2 linked regions of the Styela clava genome follow. The protein of the gene in region 2 purifies or fractionates together with the protein of the main gene of each other region. This does not show direct contact. Links are inferred from orthologs where the notes say so. Each region holds a gene or a part of one and is shown on either strand. Other genes may lie near its edges. The genes, in order: tether containing UBX domain for GLUT4-like and UBX domain-containing protein 6-like.

Region 1 (7,101 bases), on a different chromosome or scaffold from region 2:
AAGCCCTGATCCATGGAACGTGAAGTTGTCGCCCAGCTGACCGTTCAATATCGCGTCACCATCGGCTTAAATCGTACTAACTGGAGAGGGATAGTGGCATTTTCGATAACTGTCGGCCTAGCTTTTTGACTGTTAAGTTCATTATCAAGTTTACAGCAATCGTTTTGGTTTTTCTATGGGCAAACGAGTAGACCTAAAGAAAAAGGGCAAAGGGGTCAACTCTTCTTCCTCCATCTTTGCCTGGTTTTACTTTGAAATGCTGAAAAAATTACTCATTTTCGCTAAACTCTATTAAGTAAAATTGATAAAGAAAAAGTTGTCAAATGCGCGGCGAAAACTAACAGAATTGTGTTAGAATACTTTATTATGATTGAATATTTTACATGTTGCATTTATTATTAATGTTTTATTGTTTCCTAATTTAAATGGTGTGTATATAAATCAATAAATTCATTTTACCATTCTATGTCGTTTACTCTCCATTACGTAGTGTTGGCCTCTAATGTTACGTCCAATGGAGATTTCGCTGCATTTATCTACTCTTTTTTGGTGTTCCGCGAGGCGAGATAAAAAGTGGAAGTGTTGCGTGGCCGAAAATGTTTGGGAAACGCTGGCTTACCGTATCTGACCGACATCTCTGAATCTATGGTGAAAATTGCATGATGGTATATAAAAATCTATCGAACCCTATGACACGTGCATAATTAAGTGGTTTACATCCTGTCGCTACTTTCAATCTGATATGAAATCGCTTAATTTGTCATGCACGCAATGTATGGTGGTCGGGGATTATTGGACAATAAGGCTAAATTCGTTTTACATATAGATTGCTGGAGGCACAAGACCTCCGGTTACCAGTTTGGGCTGCCAATCGGACCCGGAATTGACGTCTGGCGTCCCTGGCTGGGCTACGGTCGTCCCGAATTTACTGACAACAACAAATTTTTCCTGTTTCAGTGATTTATGCCTCAAATATTTAACATTTAATAGGTTTCCTTGATTATGCAAAAAATATTTAGAGGCGTGTAGTTTCTGAAAATAACGCTGCACGATCATCACTATTTCACGCGCAGCTCACACTGTTGCTTTTGATGTCTTTGGTATTTCACAAGCTTCTGTTGCATCAAATTTGAATTCTAGACATTAAGGTGTCCCGGAAAGATTTAACATCAAGTTGGAAATCCTATTGCCAGTCCATGTGGGATATGGAAGTAATAGGCCTAATTTATTCGTTCGAGAATCATGGACTTGATGTGGAGCAAGCCGTAACCCAGGGGTCAGCAACCTACGGCCCGCGGAGCACTATAATCCGGCCCGCGACGCTTCACTAAATTACAGTAACAAAACATCCGTTTTGACGAATATATTCTTTAGACTAAATTATATTATTACCTAACAATTATATAATTCACAATTACTCGTTTAATGAGCATATAATTTAATTTTAATTAGGCAAATGGCAACAAAACGCAGAAAAGTTTATGCTAAGTGCAAAGGGTTCAATGGCGCTGAAAATATTCGAATGATTTTTTTCAAAATATTTTATGAGATGCAATGATGAAATAAATCTATATTCTATTCGAGAGATGTATCACTGCTTAATTTTTATTATAAAAAGTACCATCCGATCGGATTTTCAACTTTCTGAAAAGATGTGCGGCCCGCTAATGACTTGCAACCTTAATTTGACCCGCGAGCGACAAAAGGTTGCCGACCCCTGGCGTAACCGATTCGTGCCACCCTGCAGCGGCGAGGGTAATTAAGCAGTGTAATCACAGATGCGCTGGCGAGCAACTTCATGCACAAATGGACATACTTCATGGAGATACTGACATATGGAATTTAATGGTAAATGTATCTGGACTGAATTATTCAATATTTGTCTTATCTTTTCATTGTATATTTATTCATTGTATAAAATCACCTAAATTACATCACAAAAATAAAAATTTGGACCTCATGCAATAATATTGAAATATATAATTGGATACACCAAAACTATCATTTGTATAAATCCGATTTGGCAATGGATTTAAATTTGGCAAAAAAAAAAAAAAAAAAAAAGATGGCGAGCATCTTTATAACGCCAAGTAAGATACGCCACGCCGCTCCTTTGGCGTGTTGAACCGAGAATCAAAAGTAAGCTTATGGTCGCGCCAATCACCCTGTTGCATGGAGTACCAATCCAACGTCAGATAATTATTTTCGAGAAAATTGCCGTCTTGTCACCGCAAAATTAGTCGCTGGTCCAAGTCAATGCATTTAAATAGTATGCAGAACCTGCCGAAACTAATGCAGGGCGGACGCATTTCCTTTATGTATTTAAAATTACGTCACACGAGAACTACGTAATTAATCTACCGGCGTTCCGTTTAAAACTAATGCATGGCATATAAAGCATCGTGGGCGTGGATCAGAATTCCCTGGTGCGTGAGCCGTGATTGCGTACCGGTACAGTGTAAGTCGTGTTATTTTCTAGGGATTTCCCTCCGTTTTGAAACATATAGAGGTACACGTCGGCGCCGACAATAATGAGCAAACGTATGATTTATCCCAAGTTACGCTGAAAATAAAATACCCCATTCCCTCCTTGCGCGATATTTGTATTATTCAATAGATGACTCGACAGTTTTCAGATGACTCAGTATATTTCTCGGTGCAGCTGTGAGACCATTTCACAGATTTTGAAGACCGTACCTGTATGTTTGTGCAGCTTTGCCTGACAAAAGGCTTTGGCGGTAGGAGAGTGTACCTGCAGATCTGACAATCTTTATTGGTACCCGTACTTTTCGTGACAAGGAAAACAATTTTTGACTAGAAAGGAGTTCTAAAATCTACCTGTAAAAACTATAAGCTCAAGTCAATTTCACTATAGGGGTGGTGACTCATTTACGGCCTATCTAATTGGGCAACATGAGCCGTGGCCCATCAGAAAAAAAATCAATTATCTTACCAAAATTTCCAATTTTATAAAATTATCAATATTCATACCAAAAAAATCGCGGGATGCCACCAAATTTTTTTTTACGATACCAGTAAGCCTTAACTTATATAAAAATAAAGCAAAATACCAAGCTACATACAGACATACAGAAAAGGATACTCCTGTAGTATGTGTACCGGTACCAGGTTAGGGTTAGGACAAAATGTTGTTCAGATGTTTCACATTATAGTTCTATTACGAGTTGGGGACTGTCTGTGTTAGCCAAGTGAATAGTCCCTTCACACAACTTGATGGGCCGCGGCCCATAGCCTGATGGGCCGAGGCCTAATTCGATGGGTCGTAGCCCCGGCCCATGGGCCGTAGAGGAGTCACCACTTCCACAGAACTGTATTTTCACTATTTGATTTGCAAGAAACTTAGTTAGAATTTAGAACTGTGCTGTCTATATATCCAGATATCCCTGATGAAGACAAGTCAGTCAACTTTAAATCCTTAGTTCTGTATCGTCAGAATGAGGTCCCGTGTAGTTTCATAACCATTTTTCCATATGTTATTCCTACCTGACTACATCATCCAAAAATCCCCTAGAAGTTATTGTGGTTCGAGACCCCTGATGTGTTAGTATTTTTGATGAAAGATTCAATTGTTTTATTTTTAAAAAGCATTTTCAATCTTGGTGTTTGACAGCCTAATCATATGGCGAACTCAAGCTTCTCGTCCAGTTACCAGTCCAAGTCGGGTATGGCTGTATGGGTTTACTTAGTCAGTTATATGTTTCAGATGCATGATCTTGATGGTAGAGGAAGCCCTAATCTACCAGCAGTAACATGAAAAACCTTACAACCCTAAGGTGACGAGGAGTCCAGCAATGCACTCGCACATAATTATCTCCGACAGGATTTGAACCTGAGAACCCACACAGCATAATCAGAGGTGCGGTGACGTGCGTATTCCTAACGCTTAGCCTGACAGCACGATGAGCCACGCCGCGCCAATTGTTGATACAAATAGAAATTAATTTTCAGATTTAGGTATATTTTTTGATACCAGATAATGTCTTTGAATTTGTCGATTTTGTATCCAAACGGCCGTCGCAAAAATGTAAAAGTTTCACCGAACGTAGTAATACTGCAAACTTTGGAAGATGTATGCAAACGAGAGAAACTGGACGCAGAAACTTTTTCGTTTTTATTTCAAAGAAAAATATTGGATGAATCGTTGTCATGGAGATATGCAAATGTACCAAATAATGCAAAGCTTGAACTTTTAAAACAGGAAAAAGTGAAGCAAGAATCTCCTGTAAGAATTGCATTGCAATTTGAGGGAGGGAACAGAGTACAGCATTCATTTTTACCGTCTGTAACATTGTCTGACATCTTGCAACACTGGGAAAGTGAACTTTCAACTTTGACCCCACCAGAAGGTCATGAACCTAGTATTTTGTATGTTAGGCAAGAAATAACAGGAAATTTTAAACTTTCAAAAACGACCCTAAAAAGTTTGGGTCTAACGAGTGGAAGCGCGATATTACGATTGTCGTATAAATTGGTAGCGGAAAATGAACCTATAGAAAAACCTTCTGAGAAAGAGGCATCTCTGCCAAAAGCTGAAATACCAGCTCAACAACCCCAGAAAATACAGGAAAGAAATGTTCTCAAACCGCCCGTTAAGTCGGAAAGCAATGAAGGCATGATGATAACTGAAGAGATGTTACAGAACGCACTGGAACAAACATACGCTACGCCTGAATCTCTCGGAGTAAATTCCGCCAGAAATAATGATTCTGTAGAGTCCATGGAGGTTGATCTGTCAACTTCTTCTTCAAAAACAGAATTTTTTGACGCCGTCGGCAATTCTTCTGCGGAAAGTTTGAAAAATGGTCGTGCTAGACCAAGACGTGTTCACTCGAATGAAACTGCCCCGAAAAAAAAAGTTAAACAGACACCATCAGAAAGTCCGCAACCTGATTTTTCTGAGTTTAAATTTCCAAAAGAAAGTGAAGGGATGGATGTGTATTCTACTGAAAATGAGGAAAATGAAATCGACGTTCGCCCTCTGATGACACCGTGTGACCGAGAACCTATATTCTTCAACGAACAAGAATTGCAAAGCGCTGAAATAAATACGGACGATCCAGGCGATGAATTTTTCGAACTCACAATTGACGACATGAGAAAAATGCTATCGGAGTTGCGTTATTTACAAAATGATTCAGAGGAAAAGCCCCTTCTTACAGCCCGGTCTCGAGAAATACAAAGATTCCGATCTATTAACCAATATCCTAAGATAGTTGTAAGAATCGTCTTCCCCGATCAAAGCGTGCTACAAGGAATCTTCCGTCCCGCAGAACCAGTGCAATCTCTTTACGATTTTGTGTCAAATTTTATATCATCCCCCGCAACGGACTTTTATTTATATACCACCCCACCAAAGGTCATTCTCAAAGACAAAAAATCAATTTTGTACGATAATCATCTCGTCCCGGCTTCCAAGGTATATTTTGGGATGAAAAATCACGATTTTGAACCTAAAATTTTGTCGTCAGATATTGGGAAATGTAGAGGAACAGCAATTGAAGCAAATTTAAAACTTCGCTCTGTTTTTGAATTGAAGTCTCCAACAGTCTCTGCTTCAAACTCTGCGCAAGGTGAGACGAGAAGAATATTTTGAATCAGCTATTGGCAGTGTGGCACATCGTGCTCAGCATTAAGTATTCGCAGACCACTGCACCTCTGATTACCGACATAGTGAATGCACTATTCTAATTGATTCAAGAGTTTTGCTGCACACTAAAAACACAAATGTATTTTTGTAATGTTTTGTCTGACCAAAGTTCGATATTTTTTTGCTTTTTCCATATCAAAAAGAAGGGTGATTAAGGGTTCTGACTCGCCAATCTCCCTGGGTATACCACTATCCATCACTCAACCTAAGTTTTATCTTTTCGAAAATTCGTACAGAGCTATTATGTGCATAATGGAAGCGCCACATTTATTCGATGGATTGTTTTTTTCTTTAAATATGCATATTTGTTCCTATTCAACTCAATTTCTTTTTTTTACAGAATTTACCAAAGCAACAAGCCAGCGTGGTCATTCATCATCAAGTGTTCCGGACAGCGAAACTCCGTCCACGAGTCGGCAAACCGGTTCAAGTCAAACTTCTTCGAACAATGCTAGTGGCGCTCGACCTAAAGTTCCTAAATGGTTCAAATTAGGAAAAAAGTAAATCGAGCTAGCTTTATATGATCGTTTCCATGAATCTTGACCCGATAATAGTTCTAAAAACTCACTGACCTTTGCCTCTTGAGTCTGCAGGCAAGCGAGTCAGTAGTTGTTTCTTCATTTCCAGTAAATATTTCGTTGATTCACAAGTGCTAGCTAACTCGCTCGAATCAAACATATAGGGTGTCCATAAAGTCTCGAATTTTCCAAAATTGCAAAGGGAATTCATTGATACCATAAATCGTTTTGGTCTTCACAGATATATTAAATAAGGTAGAAATACTTGAATAAGAATATATAAGAACTGACTTCATAACAAAATTGAAATTGTAAAGAGACTGAGGACCCTGTATAAGAAAAAAATTTAACCTTCTTCTCGATCAAGTTTTGAATTTGGCTCTATTTAGGATTAAGTTGAAAATTTAATTTTGGATTAAAGGGATTTTCCATCACCTGAGTTAAAACCATATTCCGTTGTGCAATACTATTTGCTGGTAATATTGGGTTATTTCTCTGCACTGAGCATTCATTGATTCAAACTACTATTTTCTGAGAATTCTTTAATATATAACTATTCGCAAGTTCATTAAGTTCCTTTTTTGTTCTACGTATGATCTTTTGCAGCTTTGAGTTGGGATGGCTTACAAGAAACAGGCCTGTCAAGTAAGGTATTACTTCAGAAACCTTTCAGTGATAAATTACTTCAGAAACCTTTCAGTGATAAATTTGTGCAAGAATTCGCCTGATTTGGCCAGAACTGATTTACAATATTATTGACTTTGCTCCAGAGATAAACATAAAAATGCTGTCAAAATATATAATTCAAAAATTTATTTCCGAAGAAGGGTTTTATGTGTAGTTTTTGTAAGATATTCTGGGCCATTACCACATTCCTTGTTTTATACCACTTTCGCGATGGAACGCTTGAATAGT
Region 2 (8,210 bases):
CGACCCTACTAGAGCTAAATTTTGAAAAATGACGATAACTAATTACCTTCTTTCTTAACCTGGCCATCGCTCTCAATAAGTCAGTATGACAGAGTTGCTTCAATTATTTCGACACACGAAATATATTAAACTATACAAGCAAGATATATTGCAGGTCCCCAAACTTTTCTTAGCACGTCGCATTTACTTTGTGATGTTTACATTTATTTACAGCGAAGAGAAGTTGTATTCTATATTCAAATTTAATCATTTCGATATGCGAGCTGGCTTTGCGCACATAAAAAAAAAACGGACTAAAGGTGAGGCATCATAGCTAGACGTAGTTGCTGCACTCCAAAACTGATTTCAACGGGTGTGGTGATCAGGGCCAAGTTTTAAACGAGATAAATAATGAGATAAAAAATAAATTTGATATTTATCGACTATTCAGCCGTAATTATTCAGCAAATAAAAAATCATAAGAGCTGCTTAGATTGTTCTTCCCTTCCTCATCCTCACAGACTTCGGTTCATGTTGGTAAGCTTTGCCTTCCGTTCTCCACATGACATTTTCAACTAATTCTAAATGCGATTTCAAGCACAATAACATGAGAGAGAAACAACAAATTAACACTGGCAATTATTGGCATTATTACATAAATCATTACTGCAATAAATACTTTAAAAATGAACAATTCATAAATATATCGGAATTATTATATAAGTTTAAATATATTCAGGATAACTCAACACAATTGTTGTGGTGTTTTTTACTTCTGACTAAAAATGTGTGAGAACACATATTTCAAAATTAAAAGTGCTAATTGATATATTACAAAATGGTCTCCTCACTTACACAAGTGACTGGAAAATGTATCAACCATTTTACCTACGAGATGAAATCATGGGCCTGAGAATTCATATAACTACAGTGAATACCACACTCAATAGATATTCGACTGCCTGTTGCCTAAATATTAGATAGGCGTTGTCAATGCAGAGAAATATGATAGCATTCTTATCCTCATTTCAGGGTAACAATATTATATCTATCTATCAATATTCAAACTTTTTATGAATAAAAATGAGATAAAATGGCACACTGTGATTTGCTATGCTTTAATTTCATATTTTGACATCGAAACAGGTTATTGCTACAAAAAAAATTACATTACCAATTCAATTGGAATACCATGAGCTATATGAATATCCATATAAATTTTCAACAGGTATTTATTGTCCTAAGATCTAGCTCATGATATCCATGTCACTGACATCAATTGCAAGTGTTTTATTGTTAGCAAATTTGACGCTCTTGAACAAGTAGTTGACCACTTTATATTTAAAGTACCGTAAGTGGATTACAATATTGACCAATTGTCATATTCTGTAATCTGATAAGTGATAACAACCTTCGCATAATAAGAACACAATGAATCATACACTGACAGAGACAATATGAAACAAAAGTAAACACCCTACATGCTTTTTTAATGCTTGCTTTTAAAAATAAGCTAATCATGCCAAACAAAAATACAAAATTGAATGGTGTCAATTTGAGCTCGAATAATACATTCACATGATGTCAAATTAGGCTTCCACTTGCATGGTGAAATATAAATTTTATCGAGAAATTTTCTCACCCGAATGACAATTGTCAGTTCAATTCTTCCTGTTTTTGTAAAACCTCATCTTTTAGAGAAAGTGTAACACCTTGTTCATTCAATTGAGCCTGTACTTCTGCAATCCAACTCAAATTCAAGATAACAGATGGTATGAGCTGAAGCGCAGACAGTGTTTCGTGATCCTGATCAATTGTTTGCCCTGTTGATGTTTTTAAAGTATAAGGTGCCCAATCAACATTTATATTCTCACTTATGAATGCCCTCACCTCAGCAAATTTTTCGTTCACTGCAAACGTTCCTTGTAAAATGTACCCTTCAGGAAACCGAATTCTAATCAAAGCATAAATATATTTTCTAGTCTGCCTTGATTTTTCGCGCATTTGTTTTGTTCGTAATTGTTTACTAAGTTCAATCTCTTCTGTTTTTAGTCCCTGTTCTCTCCGAACTTCTTCCAATGTTAAATTGTAAAACGAGTTAGGTAGATTGAAAGTGAGAGACCGATCAGAAGGTTGAAAAATTTTCATGTCTCTGTGGAGTTTTGTTATGAGTGGCTGTGAAGCCAATAAACAATCTTTTGCATATTTAAGATTTTCAATGTTAATATCATTGGGCAGTACAAAATATAATTCTTCTTTTTCATCTGATGACACCATTGTCAATTTGAAGCCGACTGCATTTAAGAACTCTTCTGTTCCATCCAAAGGAGCAACTCTTTCTGAAAATGCTTTATTTTCTTTCCTTATTTTTCTGTATTTCTCCTCATCAGGATTTGCAATGATGTTGTCAATATATTTGCTTATGGTTTTTACTGCAATTTCAATCTTCGATTTATCTTTATTCAATGTCCGTATCATACTACACGAAGCATCAATGGCTTCATCTGAACCTAGCTTCAGTAAGAAACTTTCTTTGTAATGTGCATTAAGTTCTTTTTCTTGCATGATCTCTCCAGATAAGGCAGAAATAAATTTAACACCTTCAACTGAGTATTGTTCAGGTACAAAATCTTCTGCTGCATCAGCATTGAGAGGTTCAGACTTGGGCACTTTATTATCTTCAGAAGCTCTCGCAGCTTCTTTTGCCAATCTTTTTATTATTTTTGACGATGATGTAGATGTCGTTTGCTTACATTTTTCATTTCTTTCAATTGCCGCAATAGCTGCATTAGCTTGAGATTCTGACATAGGATTTGCTCGTACAGGAACAGGTTGTGTAGATCTCGAACTTTCCTGCACCCCATGGCCTGACTCGTCAGTAAGTTTATGACCCTCTCCTGCACTTCGAAATTTAGTTTCCAGTTTGACTTTCTGGAAAAATTTTTTCATGGTTCCTATAGGCCTAGTTCAACAGAAAACTGTAGCAGAGAAAGTTTAAACATCATCATTAAAGCCATCACAAAATGTATGTAAATCATTCAATTTAATATCTTTTCCCTCTTCACAATTTTATTTAGCACTTTGTGTGGAAAAGATGATATGATTACTGTGTTCAGAAAGTGCTAACTTAGATTATGAATAAAGATTTCTTTATTTCTGGAAGTTTTTTCTTATTACCGTCTAAAGGCTTTAAGGATGTAAGGTCAGAAGAGTCCCTGAGCATAATGCATAAACACACCATCCTACCATCCTTACAGGATTATCTTTTCACATGTTCCTACAACTACCTAGGTAAAGCTAGCGGCCACTTACAGCGGACAGTTACCAATTTTTCCAAATTTGAACCCGCCATGTTCCACGAATTCGCGTTGTCGCGAATTCACTTAATTGAGGCTACATGGATGCAAAAAAATTAGGTGATTCTCCCTTTTAGAAACTGACAACAGACCTGAAACATAATAAAAAACAAAAATGATTGAAACAACACATTTTTTCCTCGATAAAATGAATTATTGCTCAGAAGCTCATTTATCGACAAAATCTAAAATTCAACTGAGTTGAAGCGTAATTTATGCAAGAAATAATTTTTTCTCATCCAATTCATTAATACAGTGAATTTGATGAAGATATATAAAACATATATTAAATTTTAAAACAATTCCACTATGCGGAAAGTTGGGAAATACCCCCCAATTGAAGGAAAATTTTTAAGAAATTGTCAATATAACTCAGTTAAAGCGTCATTTATGCAGGAAATAATATTTTCTCATCCAATTCATTAATACAGTGAATTTGGTGGACAAATATAAAATACATATTAAAATTTTAAAAAAATCCACCTTGCGGAAAGTAGAAAAATTCCCCCCAGTTTAAGAAAAAAATATAGGAAATCTCTAATTTAACTCAGTTAAAGCATAATTTAGGTGAGAAGGAATTTTTTCTCATCCAATTCATTGATGCAATGTGTTTGGTGGACAAATATAAAATAGATATCGAAATTTAAAAAAAATCCACCGTGCGGAAAGTAGGGAAATTCCCCTCAATTTAATGAAAATATTTAAGAAATCGTCTATCCAACTCAGTTAAAGCATAATTTATGCAAGAAAGAATATTTTCTCATCCAATTCATTTATACAATATATTTGGTGGACAAATATAAAATACATATTGAAATTTAAAAAAAATCCACCGTGCGGAAAGTAGGGAAATTCCCCTCAATTGAAGAAAAAAATATAAGAAATCGTCAATTTGACTCAGTTAAAGCGTAATTTAGGTAAGAAGGAATTTTTTCTCATCCAATTCATTAATGCAGTGTGTTTGGTGGACAAATATAAAATAGATATCAAAATTTAAAAAAAATCCACCGTGCGGAAAGTAGGGAAATTCCCCTCAATTTAATGAAAAAATTTAAGAAATCGTCTATCCAACTCAGTTAAAAAATAATTTATTCAAGAAAGAATATTTTCTCATCCAATTCATTAATACGGTGTATTTGGTGGACAAATATAAAATACATATTAAAATTTAAAAAAAATCCACCGTGCGGAAAGTAGGGAAATTCCCCTCAATTTGATGAAAATATTTAAGAAATCGTCTATCCAACTCAGTTAAAAAATAATTTATGCAAGAAAAAATATTTTCTCATCCAATTCATTGATACAGTGTATTTGGTGGACAAATATAAAATACATATTAAAATTTGAAAAAAATCCACCGTGCGGAAAGTAGGGAAATTCCCCTCAATTGAAGAAAAAAATATAAGAAATTGTCAATTTGACTCAGTTAAAGCGTAATTTAGGTAAGAAGGAGTTTTTTCTCATCCAATTCATTAATGCAGTGTTTTTGGTGGACAAATATAAAATACATATTATAATTTAAAAAAAATCCACCGTGCGGAAAGTAGGGAAATTCCCCCCAATTGAAGAAAAAAATATAAGAAATCGGCAATTTAACTCAATTAAAGCGTAATTTAGGTAAGAAGGAATTTTTTCTCATCCAATTCATTAATGCAGTGTGTTTGGTGGACAAATATAAAATACATATTAAAATTTAAAAAAAATCCACCGTGCGGAAAGTAGGGAATTCCCCCTCAATTAAAAAAAATATATAAGAAATCGTCAATTTGACTCAGTTAACGCGTAATTTAGGTAAGAAGGAATTTTTTCTCATCCAATCCATTAATGCAGTGTGTTTGGTGGACAAACATAAAATACATAATAAAAGTTAAAAAAAAATCCACCATGCGGAAAGTAGCGAAATTCGGTACTCTCGAAATATGGACACAAAGATGACGCACAACCTGAAAATAAAAGGTGTACCAGGATAGGTTCAGATTTAGAATCTAGATTGTACGCTTTTGGGAGCGCAGGGAATAACCCATTTATGCAAAAATTAATTTTTTCTCATCCAATTTATTGATACAGTGTATTTGGTGGACGAATATAAAATACATATTAAAATTTGAAAAAAATCCACCGTGCGGAAAGTGGGGAAATTCCCCCCAATTTAATGGAAATATTTAAGAAATCGTCTTTCCAACTCAGTTAAAGCATTATTTATGCAGGAAAAAATATTTTCTCATCAAGTTCATTAATACAATGTATTTGGTGGACAGATATAAAATACATATTAAAATTTAAAAAAAATCCACCGTGCGGAAAGTAGGGAAATTCCCCCCAATTTAATGGAAATATTTGAGAAATCGTCCATCCAACTCAGTTAAAAAATAATTTATGCAGGAAAGAATATTTTCTCATCCAATTCATTAATACAGTGTATTTGGTGGACGAATATAAAATACATATTAAAATTTAAAAAAAATACACCGTGCGGAAAGTAGGGAAATTCCCCCCAATTTGATGAAAATATTTGAGAAATCGTCTATTTAACTCAGTTAAAGCGTAATTTATCCAAGAAAGAATATTTTCTCATCCAATTCAATAATACGGTATATTTGGTGGACAAATATAAAATACATATTAAAATTTAAAAAAAATCCACCGTGCGGAAAGTAGGGAAATTCCCCTCAATTTAATGAAAATATTTAAGAAATCGTCTATCCAACTCAGTTAAAAAATAATTTATGCAAGAAAGAATATTTTCTCATCCAATTCATTAATACAGTGTATTTGGTGGACAAATATAAAATACATATTAAACTTTAAAAAAAATCCACCGTGCGGAAAGTAGGGAAATTCCCCTCAATTTAATGAAAATATTTAAGAAATCGTCTATTTAACTCAGTTAAAGCGTAATTTATCCAAGAAAGAATATTTTCTCATCCAGTTCATTAATACAGTGTATTTGATGGTGATATATAAAACGAATATTAAATTTTAAAAATATTCCACCGTGCGGAAAGTTGGGAAATTCCCCTAACTTATGTTAAAATCAACGGAATCGTAAATTTATATAAATTAAAGCGAAATCTTGTCATATTTCATTTTATTGGTTTACACTACAACCTCGTAACACCCCCTCTCACTCCATATAGCACTACCTTCCGTAAAACCTCAGTAGTAACTTATGCTGGTATCTTTGGGTCACCTTCGGTGAACGTGCAGCCTTAACCCAGTACATCAGCAGCCTAAATCAGAATAGTATTGTCAACCTTAACAGATGAGGTGGCGTCATCAAGATTAGTAACGATTTGACACTTATGGCGCTTCATTTGTTATGTCGAATATGTATGTCGCCGAACCGTTTAATGCTGTTGTTAAAAAATATCTCAGAATTTGAAAGACTGGGAAACTGTATTAAAGAGCTAAAGGAAGTATGGCACACCGTACTAAGACGTTGGAAGAAACGACGATACGATCGATAGCAGCCGCTACGATCACTGTAAACGTATGAAGAAACTTTCAATTCCCAAATGAAGTTTTCACATGAATCAATCAACCAATCGTTTTTTATTCGCCAATCACAAAAAAAATGGAAGCAAAAAATATCACGAAAAACTTGTATACAGTAGAAACTCTCCGTACGAAAGGCTCTAGATACGAAAAATCCAACAATTCTTTTCCGAAAACTTGCATAGTGATATTTGTTCATTTTAGATTAATTTAATGCAGGGATGTTCAATACAAACCTAATATTTGAATATTGCGACCTTCGAATATCGTTTTTTTGGTGTTTTTGAGAATACCGAATATGACGCACATTTCCTAGCGCCGTCAAACTTTCGATTTAAAAAAAAATATTCGCAGCCATTCTATTTTTTATCGCAATTGAAATCAGCCGTGCGCGTCGTGGCACTAAATTATGGCCAGCATGAAAGAAATTCAAAAAGCGCAATTACAATTATTACACAATATTCACAATTATTATCGTCTATTCCAATAAATCTGAAAGCAAATTGTGTCGCAATTAATTGTTTTCACCCTCAATTTCGATAGTGACCGAACATAACAGGAATTTTTTTCATTTCTTACAATTAAGAGTTTATAAAATGACCTTTAAATGTTATTTAATATCTAACGCGGATTTTATCATTATCCCGACGTCGTTGATGAAAATATCGTTCACTTTAAGTTGGCGATATCAATAAGCAAAATTAAAATAATAACACCAGACATGAAAGATTAGCGCCGACTCAAATCAAGTAAAAACCGACTTAAAAAATAAAACAAGTTTTCAGGTCTTAATTCTCCATCAGTGGCGGACGGTAATTTGGGAATCAATCATTTGATTATGACGATGGTAAACAAAGGTACATAAGCATACCGTTCTTAGTTTTTATTCGTTATTACTATGTTCTTCCTTCTTTCCGTATGTTCTTTGTTTATTTATTATGCTGTAATCTAATTCTAACATGTAGTTGTTGGATTTTAAGCATTAATATAATTTATACGAAAATGATGTCCGAGTTTTACGTGGACTTAAAACGGATTAGGGCATTTACATAGGTAAAACGCCTTATGTAATACGACGGGTCTTCGGAACGAATTAATTTCGTGGGTAGCGCTTCTACTGTATATTCATGGCTCTGTACTCAATGGACAGGTTAACGGGAAATGGCCATTTGATCTACTTGTTAGTGTCAAGTGGCAACCCTTTGAAACTTATTTTTACATCAAATGCGTTTTAATGCCAACCGGCCTCGTATGCTGGACATTTCCAAAGTTTCCAATATCTCCGTTGTAGCATCCAGCATGAAACCAGCGTGGAGACACATCACAGCCAATCTTTAAAAAAAAGTCAAAATAACATGAATATAAAATTATATATTGCAT

What was found.
Region 1: the proteins of UBX domain-containing protein 6-like (region 2) and tether containing UBX domain for GLUT4-like purify together in Homo sapiens (affinity purification with mass spectrometry; 4 studies listed by BioGRID and IntAct, counting the BioPlex papers as one, with this or other methods). This does not show direct contact. The link is inferred for Styela clava from reciprocal best matches to the Homo sapiens genes UBXN6 and ASPSCR1.

The regions. Positions count from the first base shown.
Region 1 is NC_135260.1:3,079,260-3,086,360, reverse strand, and holds tether containing UBX domain for GLUT4-like, read left to right. Parts: upstream 1-3,958; 5' UTR 3,959-3,997; coding exon 3,998-5,591; intron 5,592-6,008; coding exon 6,009-6,172; 3' UTR 6,173-6,754; downstream 6,755-7,101. UniProt on the Homo sapiens protein: Tethering protein that sequesters GLUT4-containing vesicles in the cytoplasm in the absence of insulin. Modulates the amount of GLUT4 that is available at the cell surface. Enhances VCP methylation catalyzed by VCPKMT.
Region 2 is NC_135254.1:13,395,165-13,403,374, reverse strand, and holds UBX domain-containing protein 6-like, read right to left. Parts: upstream 3,005-8,210; 5' UTR 2,929-3,004; coding exon 1,636-2,928; 3' UTR 90-1,635; downstream 1-89. Other genes in the region: uncharacterized protein LOC144422678, read right to left, coding at 8,046-8,162. UniProt on the Homo sapiens protein: May negatively regulate the ATPase activity of VCP, an ATP-driven segregase that associates with different cofactors to control a wide variety of cellular processes.